Oryctolagus cuniculus: one gene and its partner. The protein of the gene in region 2 purifies or fractionates together with the protein of the main gene of each other region. This does not show direct contact. Links are inferred from orthologs where the notes say so. Each region holds a gene or a part of one and is shown on either strand. Other genes may lie near its edges.

Region 1 (11,147 bases), on a different chromosome or scaffold from region 2:
TTTATTATAAAGCTGAGTATATTAAATGATTATAAGGAAGATAAAAATTCCTTTTGAATTAAAAATGTCTTAAAAGTGGAATATCTTTTGGGATTAGTTAGAGTATGTTCAAGTACACACACAGAGGTAGACGCCTAAAAACAAAAACTTCAATATAGAAACAGCACAAGTTTCACTGAAAAGCAAGTAATATAAAAAATTTTGCCATAAAGAACTTATAAACCAAGAAAAAAGGTGAGAACAGGAAAAAATGTTAAGAGCAATTTTCAAAAAAATGAATATAAATGGTCACATGAAAAAACATTCAGCTTTCCCTAAGTAATCACAAATTTTAAATGTAGCCCCCTTCTGTAATTATTTAATCTGCAAATATTTTTAGTAATTTTTAATTCTCAGAGTTTAAGATAACGCTAGTGGGAATCTAAATGGACACAACCTCTGGAATGACCTGCCAGAATATTTCAAAAAGTTCAAGGAAAAGTGGAATTAAAAGATACGTTTATTTTCGTGTAAAAAATTTTGAAATCCATGCAGTTTTTACAAATATGCATTTCCCATGAGCTTTTTGAAGTACTCTTGAATATCGAAAAAAACACATATACCTTCACCTAGCAATTTTACCTCTAGAAATGTACCTTCTGGAAGTGTTATTTTGAACAGATGCGATTATAGATGCTGTTTTATATCACTGTTTATAGATTACATAAAACAATCAAGTTGTAAAGAGGAAAATGATTATAAAAGTTATGGCATCCCATTTTATGGAACAATTTGCAGCTACCTAAAATGCAAAATATCTAATATGGGAAAATGTATACAATGCATAGAGCACAGATTATGAAACAGTGTACAGGATGACGCGTTTTTAAAAAACACGTGTATGGTTGGGGCCGGCGCCGTGGCTCATTTAGCTAAATCCTCCGCCTGTGGCACTGGCATCCCATGTGGGCGCCAGGTTCTAGTCCCGGTTGCTCCTCTTCCAGTCCAGATCTCTGCTGTGGCCCGAGAGTGCAGTGGAGGATGGCCCTGCACCCACATGGGAGACCAGGGGAAGCACCTGGCTTCTGGCTTCGGATCGGCGCAGTGGGCTGGCCATAGTGGCCATTTGTGGAGTGAACCAACAGAAGGAAGACCTTTCTCTCTGTCTCTCTCATTGTCTGTAACTCTGTCAAATAAATAAAAAAATAAATAAATAAAATCTAAAAAAGTATGTGTATGGCTATACATAGAAAAGTACAAAATCAAACAGTGAAATGTTCAGATTGTGTCTGGGTGTTAGGATTACAGGACACTGTAAGTACCTGCACGTGAGCCCTTGCAAACCACCAAATTTTCCAGAAATAACAGGTGTATTTCATTCTACTGACATGGAATGTCAAATTTTATGTGAAAGCATGTTATTACTTACAAAAATTAAAAACAGTTATGACTGTTAGCTCAGTACATTTTTTTCATCTGCTTTTCCAGGAGGAGAGGGGAGACAGAGAGCAGTTACCACAACTGGAAGCGTACGAAATAGAACTGAGCCCTTCCTATCAAACATATTTTCAGTCAAATCTCATACATGAACACTCTTTTGTAGTAGGAAGTTAAATTTAACTAAATACCAGTAAAATACAACCATGAGTGTTTAAGTTGCTCTAATATTTTATTTTTCCTTTCAACATTTTTTAAAAGCTTCAACATTTTAGACAATTTTTTTTGTAACATAAGTATTAATCTCTGGAGACAACCATAAAATCACTTAAAAGGACATGAACACGTGTGTGTGTGTGTGTGTGTGTGTGTGTATAAGACTGAGGTTTCTACAGCCTATGTATGTCTCTTTGAAGAAAAAAAATACACTGACAATTGTAACTTTTAAAAAACAATTATTGGTTTCCTTACCAAACATTAGTGTCCTACACAATGAACCCATCATGAGTGAGAGCAATGAACTCCAATCAGGTGAAACACAAAAGAGCTATTGCTCCCAGCAAGCACAGTCGGCTTGGACTTTTCCTGTATCTCATAGTACTCCAGGCAAACCTGGTCACCTATAAAGACCGTCCACCTTCCAGCATGTACTCAAAGTACTTATTCCTGATCAGAGGAAAGGTAACATTCTTCCTAAGGTGAGACGGAAGGAAACAAACATTTGTTAAGAATTTTCTGAGTATCTTCCTAGGTATTTCAAACCCAGTATCTCAGTAATTCCATGCAAACATGCATAATTCTCCAGACTTCATCCTTTCATTATTTAAAAAAGCAGGGAACTATGTCTTCCTAATTTACTTTAGCTGCCTGGGACAACTAAGTGTTTCACTGAAAGACATGTAATAAATCCTATTTGATTGAGTTATTAAAAAATAAAATTATCTTTCATTTGGCTTAAAGGAAAAAAAATGTGTTTTATCATACACTCAAATATCAGACCAATGCACAACATACTGCAAAACTTTAATACAATGTGGTTACATACTGTTTTCAAATATTAAACTTCAAGCACATGAAAGTCATCTGAAAGACAAACTGGGCTTTTGTTCACAGTTGCCGTTGTGTAACTTCACAAAATTCTTTCCCTCAACAAGGTCTGACACTGATCTTGATGCTTACAAAGTAGGATGTGAGATAATGACATTTCAACAGCCTGAGGTTTAGGAGATGATCCCAATGCCCATCTTCAGCATTCATCATCGGAGGACTGATCATCTTCATCCCTTACTTCCCGGTATTGCCTGGAAGACTCCCCTTCTGGATTGTAACTCTGCATTTTAATATTCAGTTTTTCAGCTAATTTTTGTGCTGCGAGCTTTGCTTGCATCTCCTTTAAAACAAAGGGGAAAGGAAAAAGTTACACATTCACACTTTTCCTTACAATTTTTCAATGGTAAGTTCTTCAAACAGACTCAGAAAAAAAGAGGCGGTAACACCCCACTTGGAGGTCTCTGCAGCAATGGCAGGAGCCCGATGGCTGCACCCCACCACAGATACAAAGGGCAATGCTTCTGAGACCTATCAGCCTGCTGGCTGTCGTAACCGATGTCCACTACCGAACAACAATGCACTGAAATATCCTACCTCTTTACAAATTAACTTTACAACAGTTACAAATATGGGTACATTAAGTCTGTGGGCACATGCATGTATACATACAAAACAATGAGACTTATCTAATGTCAAAAATCTCCAATGCTGTACTGAATTCCCTGACAGAGCCTTCCTCCCTAGATTAAATCTTAGCTTCTAGGCCTGAGAGTTATACTTCAATAGCACAATGAAAATCAAGAAATTAATGCTTGAAAAATGACTACCTCTATCCAAGAAAAGTCCTACAGAGGGGCCAGCGCCATGGCGCAATACGTTAATCCTCCACCTGCAGCACCAGCATCCCACATGGGCACTGGTTCTAGTTCCGGCTGCTCCTCTTCCAATCCAGCTCTCTGCTATGGCCTGGGAAAGATGATGGCCCAGGTTCTTGGGCCCCGGTACCCTGTGGGAGACCCTGAAGAAGCTCCTGGCTCCTGGCTTCTGATCGGAGCAGCTCTGGCCATTGCAGCCATTTGGGGAGTGAACCAGCAGGTGGAAGACCCTTCTTTCTGTCTCTTCCTATCACTGTCTGTAATTCTACCTCTCAAATAAATAAATAAAATCTTTAAAAAAAAAAAAAAAAAAGTCCTACAGAAACAAGTATCCAACAAAAGCCCAAATAAATTTTAGACACTGGTGATGTGCTTACTGCACACACGCAAGGGCTTCACCACCAACTGCTGGCAGGTGGCAATGCTCATTCCTGGCTTTGCTCCTCCCTTTTCTCATGCTTCCTTCTTCCTTTATCACTTCAACTTCTTTATTGTCTTCCCCTCAGGCCAGGAATATTAAGAGTAAGTATAGTGGGAGCAACTACAATGTCTCTTGCAAGGAAGCTAATTTCAAGCTGCAGGGTTTAATTTAACCTAAAAACATCTTAGGATGGCATTTATGATTCCACAGACAATTTAAAAACATTTCCTTGATGTTGCAGTCCTAAGTAGGTGACACTTCTAATGCACCAAAAGGGAAAACAAGTGACTACTAAAAAGGAGTGCTGGAGCTGGCGCTGTGGCACTGCAGGTAAAGCTGCCATCTGCAGTGCTGGCATCCCATATGGGCACTGGTTCAAATCTTGACTGCTCCACTTCCAATCCAGCCCCTGCTAATGTGCCTGGGAAAGGAGTAAAAGATGGCCCAAGTACTTGGGCTCCTGCACCCACATGAGAGACCCGGAAGAAATTCCTGGCTCCTGATCAGTTCAGCTCTGACCGTTGTGGCCATTTGGGAAGTGAACCAGCAGATCAAAGATCTCTCTCTCTCTCTGCCTTTCAAATAAATGAATAAATCTGAGGGGGAAGAAAAAAAAAAGAATGCTTCAAAAATACCAATCCAGGACAACTGAATTTTTAAGAAAAGTGAAGACAGGGGCCGGCGCTGTGGCATAGCAGGTTAAGCTGCCGCCTGCAATGTTACATCCCATATGGGCACCGGTTCTAGTCCCGGCTGCTCTGCTTCCTATCCAGCTCTCTGCTATGGCCTGGGAAAGCAGAAGATGGGACAAAACCTTGGGCCCCTGCACCTGTGTGGGACACCCTGAAGAAGCTCCTGGCTCCTGGCTTCAGATCGGCTCAGCTCTGGCCGTTGTGGCCATCTGGGGAGTGAACCAGCAGATGGAAAACCTCTCTCTCTGTAACTCTTTCAAATAAATAAAATAAATCTTTAAAAAAAAGAAAAAAAGGAAAAGTGAAGGGAGAGTAGAGCCTAGTTTTCTATTAGTTAGTGCACAGCACCTGATGGGGATGTAGCTAAGCAATATCTAGGAAGTAAGACAAGATACTTTCCCTGGAAGCTCAAATTATCACTAAGTATATCAATATTTTCTATTCCCTCTATAGTCTACACACATTTTCTCCCATCCCATTAATCTATACATATATTCTCAACATCCACTTAAAGTTCTATGTCAAACACATGGAGCAGTGGACAAAGTACTACCTAACACTAAGTCACTAAAAGCGGATGATGCTGTAAGCAGTGTGTCCCACCATCTGTTGGCAACCTGCTATCCTCCACTGCTCCTCGGCACTCCCCTGGTACTGTACAGACGGAAGCCAGGGAGCTACAGTTCCCTGATTCTGGGTTAGATTCTACCAATGAATCTAATTTAGAAGGTGAAAGACAAAGGAACAATGCTATCCTATCCTAACAGAAGTGGTACAGCAATGGGCTTTAAGATGTAAAATTGTGCAGTAGTCTCCCCATGTTTCCTGGCAAATCACCACTTTGTAATACTGAGGGAGACTTAATCACCTCCAGCTGTTTCCCAGAAGTCTTAGCAACTTTGTGACTCTTTGTAAACTAAAGGCACATGACTGATGGCCAATGGGATGGCTGACCATTTCTCTAGCACCTAACCCCTTCTACTGCATTCTTTCCTTCTTGACTACCTGCAATAAATTCTGACCTATCAACATACAGACAAGAAAAAAAATTAGTAATCTAAATACCTCATAATTCTGTTTCTGCTGTTTCTGAAGTGCCAAAGATTCCTCTATAGAGAGCAGCTGTGTAGGCAGATGGTGAAGTGGGAGAAGCCGAGCTGCTGTGATGTCATCAAGATGCTGCTTGTCCCTGCGTCGCCGCTCTTCTGAGGCAACAGGAGACTCTCCCCGCTGTCGGTGACTAGACGAATCACTCTGTCGCGAAGGTAACCTAAAGGAGGGAAAACTTACCTTATACAATCAGGTATTTTCCCATTAATAGAGCAAGTGAGCTCCTAACTTAACAATGGTAAAGTACATCCATACGATCATTTGGTTTTTCATTCTCAGTATGGCATTCAATAAATTACATGAGGTAGTCACTATATTATAAAACAGGCACATGTTGATGACTTCTCCCGACGGTATGTGAATATAAGTGTTCTGAGCACTGCAGGTAGGCTAGACTAAGCCACGGTATTCTGTAGGTTAGGTGTAGTATTTCTAATTTATGATGCGCTACCAAGACATACCCCATCATAGGTCAAGGAGTATATACATACAGCACACACAAGCTCTTTCCTCTTCCTTCCCTCTTTAAATCTTACATCAAGCCGGCACCGCGGCTCACTAGGCTAATCCTCTGCCTTGCGGTGCTGGCACACCGGGTTCTAGTCCCGGTCGGGGCACCGGATTCTGTCCCGGTTGCCCCTCTTCCAGGCCAGCTCTCTGCTGTGGCCAGGGAGTGCAGTGGAGGATGGCCCAAATACTTGGGCCCTGCACCCCATGGGAGACCAGGAGAAGTACCTGGCTCCTGCCTTCGGATCAGTGCAGTGTGCCGGCCGCAGCGGCCACTGGAGGGTGAACCAACGGCAAAGGAAGACCTTTCTCTCTGTCTCTCTCTCTCTCTCACTGTCCACTCTGTCAAAAAAAAAAAAAAAAAAAATCTTACATCAAATCCAAGCTATGTTTTTCACTTATTCATTCAAAGAACATTGGCTATAGGGCTTACTGTCCATAAGAGGAAAATAAACATGTAAACAGTTTCAGTGAAATATAATACCACAGATCCTATCACAGTTGCGGCCAGTTCTAGCAAGGGACAAGGAGTTTGCCAGTTTCAAAAAAGTGAAATTTGAACAGCCTTGGAATAATAAGTGCTCACCATGTAACAGGGGGAGAAGAGCACTCGAGCACCAGGAGTGAGGGGCAACATGGCTGCAGCATACAGAAGTAAGAGGATGGAAAAGCCAGAAAAGGCAAGAGAAGGCTGGGAAGTAGGCTGGGCCCAGATCACAAGGAAGAGTTACAGTCTATATAACTGGTAGAGATTTGCATATTACAAGTTTGATTCTGGCAGGAGTGGAGAAGCACAACTGGGAGTTAAGACTCTAGGCAAGAACAGTCCACAACTATAGCTCAAAAGAGATGCAAACCTTCACTGTGACAGGAGGGGATGAAGATAAGAACATTTATAGAGATGGAAGATTAAGGAAATAAATTATGTGGATCTTCACAGCTAGCAAATATAAAGAAAAGACACCTGGGAGGTAGTAGAGGGGATGGGGCAGAGAGATATGGCAGCACTATAACCTAGAGATTATGGGAGGAAAGTCAGTTTAGATATAAATAGGAGTTTCACTTTGTACATGAAAAACCTGAATTGTCACAGACACCCAAGTGGTCATGTTTTATAGATAACATGCCACACAAATCTAAAGTTTTAGCAAGACTTAGACTAAAAGTAGATAAAAGGCAGCTTTTGGCATTCAAATTGTCTCTGAAGCCAAAGGAAAGCGGAGAAGGTGCCAAAGGACACAACCTCATCCACTGTCCAAACTCCCAGGCACTGCTCACACATGGAAGCCACCCATTCCCTGCCTATTTATGGCCTACTGACTCATCAAGGCCTAGCTTTTCCTGATCTCTTCTAACTGCACAGAAAATTCCTTCTCTTTAAATTCCTTAACCTTCAGAGGCCCTCATTATTATTTCCTTATCTCTCTCTTGCTCCCAACAAGATCATAATACATAATCAGGATCATTATATCTTTTATTTATTGACTAGATTTTCTAAAATGTCCTTATAGAAATGAAGAAAGATACCTCACTGCATACAAGATGAGAGATTACTCACAGATTACTTTTTATTACTAAAATTTAAAGTTTTAGTTTCTTACACACCAGAAATAAGATGATTTGATGTTAAAAACAAATAAAGAGTGAGGTAGGATAAAGCTGAAAGTTCATTCAAGTCCCTTTATAATAATAAAATCACAAAAAAACCACCTTTTTGATATTTTTAGCTAAAGATTTTGTTTTTCAAAGTAGTATAGTGATAGTTTGAGTTTGGATCTGATGTTCCATCTTTGGAAACAGGCATGAACCAGCCACTACTTGCCGATTTGGACGTTACACCTGCTACAAGTAATTACCTACTATTTTCTCTTAAAGAGGTTTTTTTCCTGGAGATCTCAAAAACCAAACAATGGCAAGAAACTCAGAAGCAAGGTTTTTGCCCATGCTGCCTGAATCTGTTTTCACAGTTTATTATCCTCCTCTCTTCTCCCTTCCCACTGAAACTATTATTATATACTTTGATTTTTTTTCACCAGGTATGTAAACCTTGATTCCTCATCAGCATCCTAGACTGAGTAACAGAAACTATTTCACTGTGTCCTCACAGCACCAGAGGCCTACATATAGCATGAACACACAAGTACAAGTACAATTTTGCTGAGAGTCCATCACTTCCTGCATTGCTTTGCCCTTACAGACTAATCAAAGGGGGAGCAGTAACCAGAAACTGGTTCTAATAAAAAAAATCAATAAATTCTCTCCTTAGCTCTGTTTATTATGAAATACTGGCTAAGTATCCTGAAATTTAATACTCCCCCACCAACATAAAATCTGTTCAATTATTTGGCTTTAAAAACAAAAGTATTTTTCAACAAGAATCCTCTTTCCAGTGAGGCTAGTCTCACTGCTTCCATAATATGCCCCATCTCTAACCACAAGCAGCACTCAAAGGAAGCCAAATGTGCTTATGGCAGCCTCCCAAGTTTGGGGGTAGAACAAATATTAGGTTCCTGTGCTAGTATGTTTCCAACGATACTTACACATTGGTTTTAAATTTATGTGGTAAGGGCAGTGGGTTTTTGGCTCGCATTTCTAGCACTTCCATGTAATGAGGCTTCTTCTGAGTCCCGCTCCCAAAGCCCGTCACGTTCTCAGTCAAGTTCTCAGTCCTCGTGTATCCTTCTGAGGGATGTTCACTCTGGTCTGCAATTGTGATCCTTTGCAACTTATCAATAAACAGGTTGTCAAGGCTGCTGGAAACGTCCTCCACTTGACTTGAAACACTATGCTGAGGGAGATGCTCTCTGGCTTCAGCCGAGGAAAGCACGCTGGCACTGCTGTTGCTGGAAGCTGGGCACTTGTTCGCTGGGTCCTCAGCCTCTGGAGTCTCTTCCTCACCTTTGTGAGGAGGATGTACAAGTCCCTGTTTATGTGAGGTTGTCTGAGATGACTTGACGTTATCTACAGAGGAACAGCCAGGAACTAGTGATGACGTAGCAAGTATCTGGTCAGAATTCTGGGCCTTATGTATGTCCACATCAACTGCATCTGCTTTTTGCCTTAGCGTACAGTCTAAACTAACAGGATGAAAGAGTTCACTTTTCCCTCTAACCTCTTCACGTCCTGCAATGGCAGCTTTCAGTTTGGCAACGGTGTCTATGACCTTTTTACCTTTGTCGGGCAATTTGCAAATGAATTTTCTGTCAAATGGAAAAGAACAGGTATACATTAGGGCCATGGCTTTAAACTTGAGGCGTAACACTTAACAGACAAAGCACCATCCTCCAAGGGAGCAAACTGATTTTTAAGTTAATGTCTGATTTTTACCAGCTCCCAAACAGGAATGAAACAATACAACAATTTTCCAAATACATTTAGAAAACAAGTGGATAGAAGAACAGAGAATATAGGCCTCATCTGTCTCTTCTATTTAGAATCTTGGCAAAAGGACTTGAAGAATACAGGCTGAACACTTCTAATCTGAAAATTTTTTTAGCACTAACATGATGTTCTAAGTGGAAAATCCATGCCTGACCTTATGTGACAATTGTAGTCAAAATGCAGGTACAATAAAAACCTGTCTAAAAGTCAAGCTATGAGCATATGCAACATAAATGAACTGTGTTTAGACTTGGGTCTCATCCCTAAATATCCCATTATGAATATACAAATATTAAAGACAATTTAAAAAAAAAAAAAAAACAAAATCTGAGACATTTCTGGTCTTAAGCATTTCAGATAGGGGAGACTTAACCTGTGTGATTATCATACAAGATATCCCCCAAATTCATAGTTTTTAAAATGTAATCTCCAAAACCTGCTGGGGGAATGGGCCTGCAGAGTCAGAATTATTCCAACAACACTACTAAAGCGTTATTTACCACCTCCCTCTCAAGTTCTCACAGGGGTAGGGTGAACTTTTCCAGAAGCCACATGATGTGTGACACCATCCTGGCTCTGAAGTGGAATGTGTGCTCATGTGTTCACGAAAAACAAGAGCTCTTTGGCATGCCCAGCTCTTAAATAAGAGTATAAGGAGATCTTCACACCCAAATGTTAATTCACTGCCATTCTCACAATGTCACAGCAACACCTGTCTACTACAAAGACCCTCAAGTGACTGCTTTTTTGGAAGTGACATAAGTTTCTTTTCTAATTTCCTTTTCTTCGGCCATACAATACATAAGGGGCGAGGTTACATCTGAGACCCTCTAGTAGTTTTTTTTCCTCTGACATTACATTCATGCTTTCAGTTTCAACTACCTATGAACAACTCAGTGCATTCAAGATTCCCCAATTTCCCCAACCCCCTCCACCTCCCCTTCCCTCTCTCCTGCTCTCCTCTCAACTCCATGCACTCGAAGTACAAATCAACCTTGCCTCTACTCCCTCCCCTCACTTTTTCTATTTCTCTTGGTGGCTCTCCTCACACATGGGAAACTTCAGCCATCTTAATCCCTGCCTGACAAAGTTTTGCCAATCCCACGGCCGGCCGCCGTCCCAGTTCACTTTCCTGCGACCTCCTTGCAGGAAACCTCTCTAAAAGTATCCTCCTGGGGTCTTCCGCCTCTTAGTCCGTCAAGCCATCCTGCTCCGAGCTGCTGAACACGAAACTGCCCTTCAAACACCCCTTTTGTCATTTCGCGCCCCTGCTAACCATCCGGGTCGTCTGCCAGCTGAATGGGAGTCAAGTTCTCGGCCTGAGAAACCGTTCTTTACATCTCACTCTTCTCATTCCTCACCGGTTCCCGTAAGGAAAGGATCGAGAGAGAAAACTGGCAACAGATTTTCGGCGCCAGGCCCGGGGCGGGAGAACAGGGTTATCTGGGACACAAGCTTTCCCTTCAAAGCCGACATGGGAACTGAGTAAACAAAACCAACGAGGGGCTGGCGGACCAGCTTAGCTCCACGCTAAGCAGCCGCTGGGGACACGAGCCACCCCCACGAGCTGCAGCAGCAGCGGCCGGAACGTGGCGTGGCTTTGCGGCTGCAGGCCGCGGGACCGAAACGAATCGCACTGAGGCAAGGTCACCTTCCAGTGGAGGGAGCGGGGCGGTGGAAGGCAGGGGGCGTCCC
Region 2 (10,670 bases):
AGGGCAGTGATAGGGAAAGGTGACTCGGCCCTTCTGAGTGGATTAATCCACTGGATTACTGGGGTAGCCCTGGGCAGGCGGTGGGTGTGTGGCATGGTGGCTAAGGCACTGCTTGGGACAGCTGCATCACAGGGCTTGAGTTCGAATCCCAGCTCTGCTCCTGATTTTAGCTTCTGCTAGTGAGCACCAGATAGGCAGCAGGTTATAGCTGGAGTGGTTCCCAGGTGGGAGACCTGCACTGAGTTCCAGGCTCTGGCTTTGGCCAGGCTCAGCCCCTAGTTGCTGCAGGCACTTGGAAAATCAATCAGCAGATAGAACTTAATCTGCCTCTCTAATAAAATGACAATATATAAATAAATTTTTAAATACATGGGAAAGTAGGACAAACCACTAAATAATCCCACAGAATTCAACGATCTCGGTAAACAGCTGACCACCTCACAACCTGAAAGGGAGCCCAGTCGCGCAAAGGATGCCGGGCCCCAGCCGCTGCAGGTCCAGGTAGCTCACCCGGCGTTCTCCCCGGCACCCGCCCCTCCTCGCGGGGCGTGTCCTCCATGACCCCACCCCTTCCGGAGAGCCGCACTCTGATTGGCCGTGACCCGTACGAAAGCTGGCCAATCGCGTAGGAGCAGCTGCTGCAGCGTCTCTGCGTGCGGGAGGAACATGGCGGACCGCCTCACACAGCTGCAAGACGCCGTGAACTCGGTAGGCGCTTTAATTCGCTTACTTGCGGTCTGCCTCATTCCTGAGGTAAAACGGGGGAGGAGAAGAGGCCCGAGACGCAGCCTTCGGCGGTGGCGAGCAGATGGAGGCGGTGCCTCTGCGAATTCGGGGCGTTCGAGGCCGGCCGCGGGGGCCGCGGAGGGAGCAGCCCCTTTGCCCGGCGGCGGCCTCACGGGGCTCGCCGGACACTGGTGCTGGGGGCGGGAGGAGAAGAAAGCAGACGCGGTTCTCTGCGTATACCTCGGCCCCGGGGCCCTGGAGACTGCGTCTCGGTGCGACGCCTTAGCCGGGCTCCGGTACTTCGAGGGGCGGGAGCAGGAGCGGTGGCGCCTGGAGAAGTTGTGTTCGCTCCCTCAGGCGGGGATGGCGAGAGCTGACGTCTGGAAGCTTGTGAACCTTGTGTCGGGCGTTGAGGTCCCTGGGTTTGAGAAGCGGCTCCCCTGGCGTTGTCCCTGGCGATGCTTTGCACCTGAGAGTGCGTGCGAGCCCTAGGCCCTGGGCTTGGAGCGGCCGCTGGCTGCCCTGCCTGCTGGGGCTGCTGTCCCCGGGCGGGTGCCTGGGCGGGCACTGTGATTGTTCACCCCCCAGCCCTTGAAGCTGACGAGCCGAGCGCTTGCAGAGCGCCAGCGTGCTGTGAACAGCGCGGGAGCTTGCGAGGCTGAGCGGGCAGCCACCGAGTGTGGGTGACATCCTGCCAGGCCCTCGGGGAGCTTCTACACATGCTGGTGCTGGATGGAAGCCTTCCTTCGTGGCCTGGCCCCTGGAGGCGAGGCAGGGCGGAGGGAGTGTGGCCTCTCCCCCAGGGGGAGGCCTGCTGGTAGCTGGGGTCTCCAGAGAAGCCTTCAGGGTACGCCATGAGCGCCTGCTGTGTCGGAGCCCAATCGTAGTTCCAAAGGGACAGCCTGAAGGGCATAAGGATGATGTCACATACTCAGGGGACGTTTAAATGATGTAAAAACACTATGGGGTTAGGGAGTTAGAATGAATGCGGTGTTTTCAGCTGTCAGTGCTGAGTAAATTGGAATATGGAGCCATGCGCCCTGAAATACTGAATTATCGTAATCGTAATTATTCATGTCGTGTTCACCATATTTGTGTTACGGCTGTTAGGTTTATGTTCGTTTCTTGCCGTGGAGTTTTTTTCAATCACTGTTTGTTGAATGAACGTCTAAATGGATCTTGAAAGCTTGTGAGGGACAGTACAGATAGCCACTGTGTTGAAGGGTTTTTTGTGCGTTTCCGCTGTTTGTCCGGTTAATCAAACCAGGATTAGAATCTAGGTTTATATAGCTTCCAAGCTCTTCCCCCTCCATTGCAAATAGCAAACCAGCAAACTGATAACTAGCGAGTAACTGTGAGGGAGTAAAATGTGAAAAATGTTTAGGAAGAGCTGGCTGAGATTATTATTGAAAAGTTGGAAACCGCTTGCTGACCGCAGTGGAGTGAGCCGGCGGTTTTTGTGCAGGGGGGAATACGATGGGTAACCAGAGAACAGTGAGGGCGCGATTGCAGTAATTCTGGCAGGAGGTAAGTGATGGAACAGAAGGGGGAGAATGAACCATCCGCGGGATAGGAAGCTGGAAGGCATGAGGCTCTGGAATGAGACTGGTTGGCTAGGACGCTCTCAAGACCAGTTAGATACTTATCCGGGGAGCAGGTGACTTCGAGTCCGGCCATTGCAGTCATGGCGGAGAAGGGCGGTGGAAATGCTTCCTCACTGATGGGAAATAGGACTTGAGGTCTGAGAGGTCAGGCCTAGTGAGAGGATTGGTGGGGAGCTGTGGTCCCTGGTTGAAGATGGTAAGGCACTGGTTTCTCAGTCTTGAGAGCTGCTGAAGGAATACTTTAACAACGCGAGCCTTAGCACTGCATTAGAAAAGGCACCTTATTTCCCCTATTTCTTTGCCTTGTGAACACTGAGATCTCAGAAAAGGAATTGTATATGAGTAACACTTTTTTAAATTAAATCTGGGGCCATACGTGGAAAGTCTCGTTGCCTGTAATATTGGCACAAAATTGTCTTTATCATTCTGTTAGCTTCAGAAGACAAGAAAGATGATACAAGTTTGCATGGGCTGCAAAATTTTTTTGCATAAAAATATATTGATCTTTTAATTCCATTTTTACTGTCTCATCTAGATTGATATCAACACCACCTAGGTTGATACTAAGTTTATTTGCATGGTTGAAATATCTAATCATTGTTAACACACTGGCTTGTTTTATCCGAAATTACTCCTTTCTGATTCACTCCCCTGCTCAGAGAGCATTGTTTTGGGAAACTTGTTGCCATTACCAGCAAAAGCTTTAGACTTGATAAACTTTGTATAATCCTGACCTGTTTTCTCTGGCCCAAGCTTGCAGATCAGTTCTGTAACGCCATTGGAGTGCTGCAGCAGGGTGGGCCTCCTGCCTCTTTTAACAACATTCAGACAGCCATTAACAAAGACCAGCCTGCTAATCCCACCGAAGGTAAACAGCTTTTCTTGGCTTCCCTTTATTTGATTCTCGGACTTCGTGTAATCCTTTAAATTAGATTTATTTAGAAATTCACTCTGTTGCTTCTTTATACAGATGTTACTGAGGTACTACTGGACGTTTTGTATGTCATACCAGAAATTATTTATTGTAGTTAACTTGCATAATACCATAATTCTTCTTGTGTCATACCAGATTGGTGCCCTTGGAGAGAATTAGGAATTTGGCTGAACTTTACTGACGGACCCTGATAATTAGGGCATCCCATGTACAGATTCATTGATTCTAGTGTCTTCCATATTATCCTAATACATGAAGTGAACATGCCTTAGGCTTAATTCTCTGAGCCTGTATTAAGTTAAATATGTAACAGAACTGGTGCCTTGAAATTGATTTTTTTCTTTTAAATATTTCTATTTGAAAGGCAGAGTGATAGAGAGTGAGGGAGAGACAGAGAGCATGAGAGATACCTTCCATCTACTGGTTCATTCCCCACAGGGACATAAAGGCCGGGACTGAGCCAGGAACTCCATCCAGGTCTCACACATGGGTGGTAGGGGTCCAAGTACTTGGGCCATCTTCTGCTGCTATCCCAGGGACATTAGCAGCGAGCAGGATCAGAAGCAGAGGAGCCAGGACTTGAACCAGCACTGGGACATGGGTTGCCAGCATTACGATTAGTGGCTCAACCCAGTGCATCACTACACTGACTCATTAAAATAACACTTTGATCATTGGAATTCTAATATTAAAAAGTTAGGTGAAGTTTCCTGGTTTCATTAACTTGAATCTAATTTTCTGTTTGTGTAAACCCGAGATTTTCTCATACTAATTGAGTAGTCTTTCTGCAGAGTATGCCCAGCTTTTTGCAGCACTTATTGCACGAACAGCAAAAGATATTGATGTTTTGATAGATTCTTTACCCAGTGAAGAATCCACAGCTGCGTTACAGGTAACAACCTTTTTTCTTAGAGAATTTTACTGGTAGCAGAGAATTTTGAATTGAAGGAGATAGATTTATTGACTTTCATTGTAATATTCAGAACTATTTTATGATTATTTTTAAGGATTTACTCTTGGATTTACTTGAAAGACAAAGTCAGAGAGGGAGCCGGAGACAGAGATACCTTCCATTCACTGGTTCACTCCCCAAATGGCCACCACAGTCTGGCCTGGGTCAGGCTGAAGCCAAGAGCCTGGAATTCCATCTGGGTCTCCCATGTGGGTGACAGGAGCCCAAGCAGTCATGTGGGATGCTGGCATTGCAGGAGGTGGCTTAACCAACTGCATCTCACAACACTGTCCCCATACTTTCCATACTCTAGTTCACTTCCGAAATGATCACAGCTGGACCAGGCTGGAGCCAGGAGCTTCTTCCGGGTCTCCCATGTAGGTGCAAGGGTCCAAGGACTTGGGCCATCCTTTGCTGCCTTCCTAGGCACATTAGCAGGGAGCTGGATCTGAAGTAGAGCAGCCAGAACTTGAACAGGCGCCCTTATGGGATGCTGGTGTGGCAGATGATGGTTTACCGTGCTGCGCCATGATGTCAGCCTCTAAGATGGGCGTTTCACTAATTCAGTGCTAGTATTGTCTGTTGAAGATTGTGCTGAATAGCTGTACAGTAGTTGTCCAATTTTGAGTTAGAAGGAAACCTTGTATGTTCTGGTTTATCTTTTTCTAGCAAAGAAGGAAAGGATGGTGGCTTTCTGAACGAGGAATAAAATAATGGATAGCAAAGGCAGTTTGGAACAGAGTCATACTAGATAGTAAGATCTCTTGAAAATCCATTACTTTATAATCATATGGAGGAACTTAAGTTACCTCACTTTGAGAATTTCTCCTATTAAAACTGTATCACTGGTTGCAAAATCACCGAGATTTAAAAATAAATACCTCTACTGCAGTCTCTTCTCCACTCTAAAAGATTGTCAAATTTATGTCTTAAAAGGCTGCTAGCTTATATAAGCTAGAAGAGGAGAACCACGAAGCTGCCACCTGTCTGGAGGATGTTGTGTACCGAGGGGACATGCTTCTGGAAAAGATCCAAAGTGCACTCGCTGACATTGCACAGTCCCAGCTGAAGACGAGGAGCGGCACCCACAGCCAGACCCTGCCGGACTCATAGCACCGGCACGTGCCGGCGGCTAAGAACTGTCTCAAGGCCATTAAGAATTCTACCTTGGATTAAATGTCAGCCTTACCAGCAGTTACAGAAACGTTAAACGTTATGACATGTTTTACCTTTGTAGCTGTTTTTAAAATCTTCTATTTTTACTCTTGATAAACAAGCATATAAAGTTGTGATTGAACCAGCTTTAAACTATCAGTTTTTTTTTAATCTGAGATTACTAAGGCAGATACTGCATTTGTGATCAAAATACAAATAAACATGCACTGTTCTTTGGTGACAAAGTTTGTATGTTGTTTAAAACTCAAATTTCTGTAATAGTCCTGGGGCCAGCACTGTGGGTGGCAGGAAAAGCCACCGCTTGCAGTGCTGGCATCCCATATGGGCACTGTTAAGAATCTGGGATGCTCCTCTTCCGATCCAGCTCTCTGCAATGGCCTAGGAAAGCAGTGGAAGATGGCCCAAGTCCTTGGGCCCCTGCATCTGCATAGGAGACCCAGAAGGAGCTCCTGGCACCAAGCTTTGGATCCACCCAGCTCTGGCCATTGCAACCATTTGGGGAGTGAACCAGTGGATGGAATACCTCTCTCTGTCTCTCCTTTCTCTCTGCCTCTCTGTAACTCTTTCAAATAAATAATCTTAAAAAAAAAAAAAAATCGGTAGTCCTTTCATAAATGAAAACAACCCTGAAGCCAGAAGAGACATTCTCAGTGCAGAGATGGATCTTTCAGTGGGCTGGTATCTTTGCCACTATGGAGGTGGCATTGTATAAATTTGGAGCTTTGAGAAAGGAAGTTTCTGAAAATTTGTCAGTTCTCAGAAACCCAAAGTGTTAGTGTGGCCGGGTGAGAGTAGGTCACACTGAGGCAAACCTTTGCTCTTGCAGAACCTCATGTCCCTTTGAATTCACCTCCACGTTTGCTTTGACTGAGAAAGCCTTGACTCAATGAAATTCCCAGGCTGCTGTGAGTTTTCTTCATCCTGATTGGCTTGTTCTCTTTATCTACAGGCCTGTATTCTGCTCTCATTACCCCCCCCCCCCCCCCCGCTGTATTTTAAGAGGGCCATCCTCCCATAGCAGTTATTTCAGAGTTGTTTTCTCCATCGCTCCTCAGTGTGTCAGCATGTCAGCTACAGTGACTGATGCAGCTCTGGGGTCTCCTGCAGTCCACGGCTTCTGCCCAGAAATCTGAAGTTGAAATATCTTCCACACTGTCCTGCCTCTGTCTCAGAATCTCTAGGACTTCACTTGAATCCGTTGCTATCCAGAGCTGGCTCTGCCAGAGAACCCTCAAGATGGTAGTCTGCTGCAGCAGGCTTCCCCACAGCTCTTGAGAAACAAGGCATTTCAAATGCCGAGAACACCCACTTTAGCAGCAGAAGTGGCGGCAGTTTATTGCTTAGGCATAGACGGTCTGGACTTTGAATCTTTGCAGGGTGTTACGATGGAAGCTTACTAGAAATACTTAGTGGGGTGGATGTTGTGGTGCGATAGATTATACCACCCACTGGGATACACGGACTTTGTATTGGAGTGCCTGGGATGGGGTCCTGCCTCTGCTTCCAGTCTAGATCTTGGCTAACAGGCTTAGCCAAATACTTGGGTTCCTGCTACCTTTGTGGGAGACCTGGTTCCTGGCCTGGCCCTGGCTGTTGAAGGAATCTGGGGAGTGAACCAGAGGATGGAAGATCTCCCTCTCTGTGTCACTGTACCTTTCAAATAAATTCCTAGGGGAAAAAAAAAACCACTTTACTCTGCCAGGCATTTAACATTTCAAAGTAGCTATTATAAACATTCTCTAGTGAACACTCTTCAAAGAAGTAAAAAGACAAAGTCTTAACTGAGAAATAAAAGATACAAAGAGGAAAATGGAAATTTTAGAATAAAAATACACAGTAACAAACTCACTGGTTAGTTCAATAGAATGAAGATATACGTATAGGGGTGGGGTGCGGGACAATGCTGTGGTGCAGTGTCGCTCCCCGTCTTCGTGGAGGAACGACACAGGACCCTGCGCTGTTCTTTCGTCTGCTCAGCCCTCCCCGGGTTTGCTGCTGGTTCTTCCCGGGTTGGCTACTGTCCCTTCCACCTCCGTGGAAGGGCAGTTCCCCCTAGCCACATTCCCCACTTCTGCAGGGGAGCGGCACACCGCCGGCCGGCTCTCTGGGGGCTGCACAGGTGTTCCCCTTAGATGTTCCCCATAGATGTTTCCGGTGCATGCCATCTCTCTCCTCCTTTATAGTCCTCCTCCGCCAATCCTAACTCAGCTGCCCACACGCCGAGTACGCTGCTCTCCAATCAGGAGCAAGTCCTACAGTTTATTGGTTGAACTGGAGGCAGCTGCGTAGAAGCTGTTTTCTCCTCTCCCAGCGCCATATTGTGGGAGAGCAGATGCATAGAATAAGTCTTAATTCCAGTAACAGTATAGTCCGAGCTGCTCCCCACAGTGCAGCAGATTAAGCCGCCACCAGCAACACCAGCGTCCCATATGGACACCATTTAGAGTCCCCACTGCTCTGCTTCCAATACAGCTCCCTGCTAATGTGCTTGGGAAAAGCATAGGAGGATGGCCTGAGTAATTGGGCAACTGCACCCACATGGGAGACCTGGATAAAGCTCCTGGCTTCTACTTTGTCCTGGCCCAGTCCTGTCTTGTGGACATTTAGGGAGTAAAACAGCCGATGGAAGATGTCTGCCTATCCTCTCTCTCAAACAGATAAAACTTAAAATGATGTAAAGGTGACATCAGTGAACTGGAGGACAGATTGAGAAACTACCAACCTAAATAAGAGAAAATAAATTGAAAAAAAAAATTGAGCAAAGCCTCAGGTACCTATGGGACAATAAGAAAATACAAATATCTAATATTCACACGAGGAGAGAGAGTGTAGAGCTAAATAATCATAAAAAAAAAAAATAACCTGAGTGAAAGCACAGCCTATATATGCAAGAAATTCAGCAAGACCCCAAGCCAAAAACAAATGTGGGCCGGCGCCCTGGGTTCTAGTCCTGGTTGGGGCGCCGGATTCTGTCTTGGTTGCTTCTCTTCCAGTCCACCTCTCTGCTATGGCCGGGGAGTACAGTGAAGGATGGCCCAAGTCCTTGGGCCCTGCACCCGCATGGGAGACCAGGAGGAAGCACCTGGCTCCTGGCTTCAGATCAGTGCAGTGCACCGGCCATAGCGGCCACTTGGGGGATGAACCAATGGAAAAGGAAGACCTTTCTCTCTGTCTCTCTCTCACTGTCTAATTCTGCCTGTCAAAAAAAATAAAAATAAAAATGCGAAGAAGTGTACACTCAGGTGAATCATAATCAAATATCTGAAAAGTAAAGTCGTTGAAAGCGACCACAATGAAGTGACATGTTGTCTGTAAGGGAACAAAGGTTCCAAAATAACAGTATATTTCTCTGCAGAAACCAGAAAGTTCAGAATGAAGTAGCACATTTTTAAAAGGTTTTATTTATTTGACAGGCAGAGTAATGGTGTGGGAGGGAGAAAACATGAACAAGCAAGAACAGTCTACGTGTTCACTAAGTGCCCACAACAGCTGGGGCTGGGCTAAGCCTATGCTAGAACTGAGGGACTCCAACTGGGTCTCCCATTGTGGGTGGCAGGAATCAAAAAACTTGGGCCATCATCTGCTCCCAGGCACATTAGCAGGAAGCTAGATTGGAAATGGGGGCAGGATCTAATCCCAGGCACTCTGATATGGGATGCAGGCATTGCAAGTGGCATGTTGTGCCAAAACACCTGCATATTTTTTTTTAAAGATTTGTTTATTTCTTTGAAAGGCAGAGTTATAGAGACGGAGAGCAAGAGCAATGTCTTCCATACACTGGTTCACTCTCCAAATGGCCACAATGGCTGGAGCTGGGTCAGTCGGAAACCAGGAGCTAGGAACTTAGTCCAGGTCTGCCATATGGATAGCGGGGACCCAAGCACTCAAGCCATCACTGATTGCTTTCCACAGTGCACATAACCAGGAAGCTGGAATTGGAAACGGAGCCAGGACTTGAGCCCAAGCATCCTGATATCCCAAGTGGTGATTTAACAGCTAAACACCTGCCCCAAGATTATCTACATGCAGAAGCATTTTATTAAATGCTCTAGGCAAAAAAGAGACAAAATGTTTTGATGTATAAAGAGTATTTGCAAAACTATGACAAACATTCTGAAAGATCAAATGCGTTCCTTTTAAACTTGAAAACAAAGGTAGTTGCTATATCCCCATGTACTACAGGTAAGCATGAAAAAGAAATTAGTAAGATTTTTCAAAAAGAAACCAAATGTTTACTGTTTAAAGATGGTATTTATACAAATGGAGAAAATCACAGAGATTCCATAGATAAGTTTTGAGAAGGTTATTGGACATAAAACCAATGTGCAACATGGCAGCAACAAGAGGCAGGAAAAACACATATTAAAAAGCATTTTCAGGGCCGGAGCTGTGGCTCACTTGGCTAATCCTCCGCCTGCGGTGCCGGCATCCCATGTGGGCACCAGGTTCTAGTCCCAGTTGCTCCTCTTTCAGTCCAACTCTCTGCTGTGGCCTGGGAAGGCAGTGGAGGATGGCCCAAGTGCACCCACGTCGGAGACCAGGAAGAAGTACCCGGCTCCTGGCTTCGGATCGGCATAGCTCCAGCTGTGGAGGCCATTTAGGGGGTGAGCCAATGGAGGGAAGACCTTTCTCTCTGTCTCTCTCTCTCTCACTGTCTAACTCTGTCAGATAAATTAAAAAAAAAAAAAAAAGCATTTTCAATTGCATTAAAAAAAAAAAGATCAGAATAGACCAATGTGATTTAAAAATGGGTACATGACCAGAACAGAAATTTCTCAAAAACAAAAAGTACAAATGACTAATAGATATGTGAAAAAACTATTCAGAATCACTAATCAGGGAAATGTAAATCAGTGAGATGGCCTCTCTCCTTTTAGATGGCTGTCATCAAAAAGATGAAAAGTCATGAGCGGGGTTTGTGGTGTGGTCGGAATGCTGGCACCCCCTGTGAGCGCTGGTTTGTGTCCCAGCTGCTCTACTTCCTGCTAACGTCCTGGGAAAAGCAGCGGAAGATGGCCTAAGTGCTTGGGCCCCTGCCATCCACGTGGGAGACCTGGAAGAAACTATGGCGCCAGGCTTTGGCCTGGCCCATTCCCAGCTGTTGCGGCCACCTGGGTAGTGAACCAGCAAATGGAAGATCTCTGTTTCTCTCCCACTCTCACTGGAACTCTGGCTTTCAAATACATAATTTTTTTCTTTTTTAAAAAGGGAAAAATCACATGCTAAGGAGGATGGGGAGAAAGGGAAACTCATGCACTGTTGGGAATGCAAATTAGTA

Evidence for each region.
Region 1: the proteins of MED21 (region 2) and POLR2M purify together in Homo sapiens (affinity purification with mass spectrometry; 3 studies listed by BioGRID and IntAct, with this or other methods). This does not show direct contact. The link is inferred for Oryctolagus cuniculus from reciprocal best matches to the Homo sapiens genes MED21 and POLR2M.

Annotation. Positions count from the first base shown.
Region 1 is NC_091443.1:80,573,485-80,584,631, reverse strand, and holds the end of POLR2M (protein GRINL1A), read right to left. Parts: intron 9,272-11,147; coding exon 8,612-9,271; intron 5,725-8,611; coding exon 5,520-5,724; intron 2,807-5,519; coding exon 2,663-2,806; 3' UTR 1,630-2,662; downstream 1-1,629.
Region 2 is NC_091440.1:124,255,437-124,266,106, forward strand, and holds MED21 (mediator of RNA polymerase II transcription subunit 21), read left to right. Parts: upstream 1-465; 5' UTR 466-666; coding exon 667-708; intron 709-3,083; coding exon 3,084-3,198; intron 3,199-4,055; coding exon 4,056-4,156; intron 4,157-5,152; coding exon 5,153-5,329; 3' UTR 5,330-5,988; downstream 5,989-10,670. UniProt on the Homo sapiens protein: Component of the Mediator complex, a coactivator involved in the regulated transcription of nearly all RNA polymerase II-dependent genes.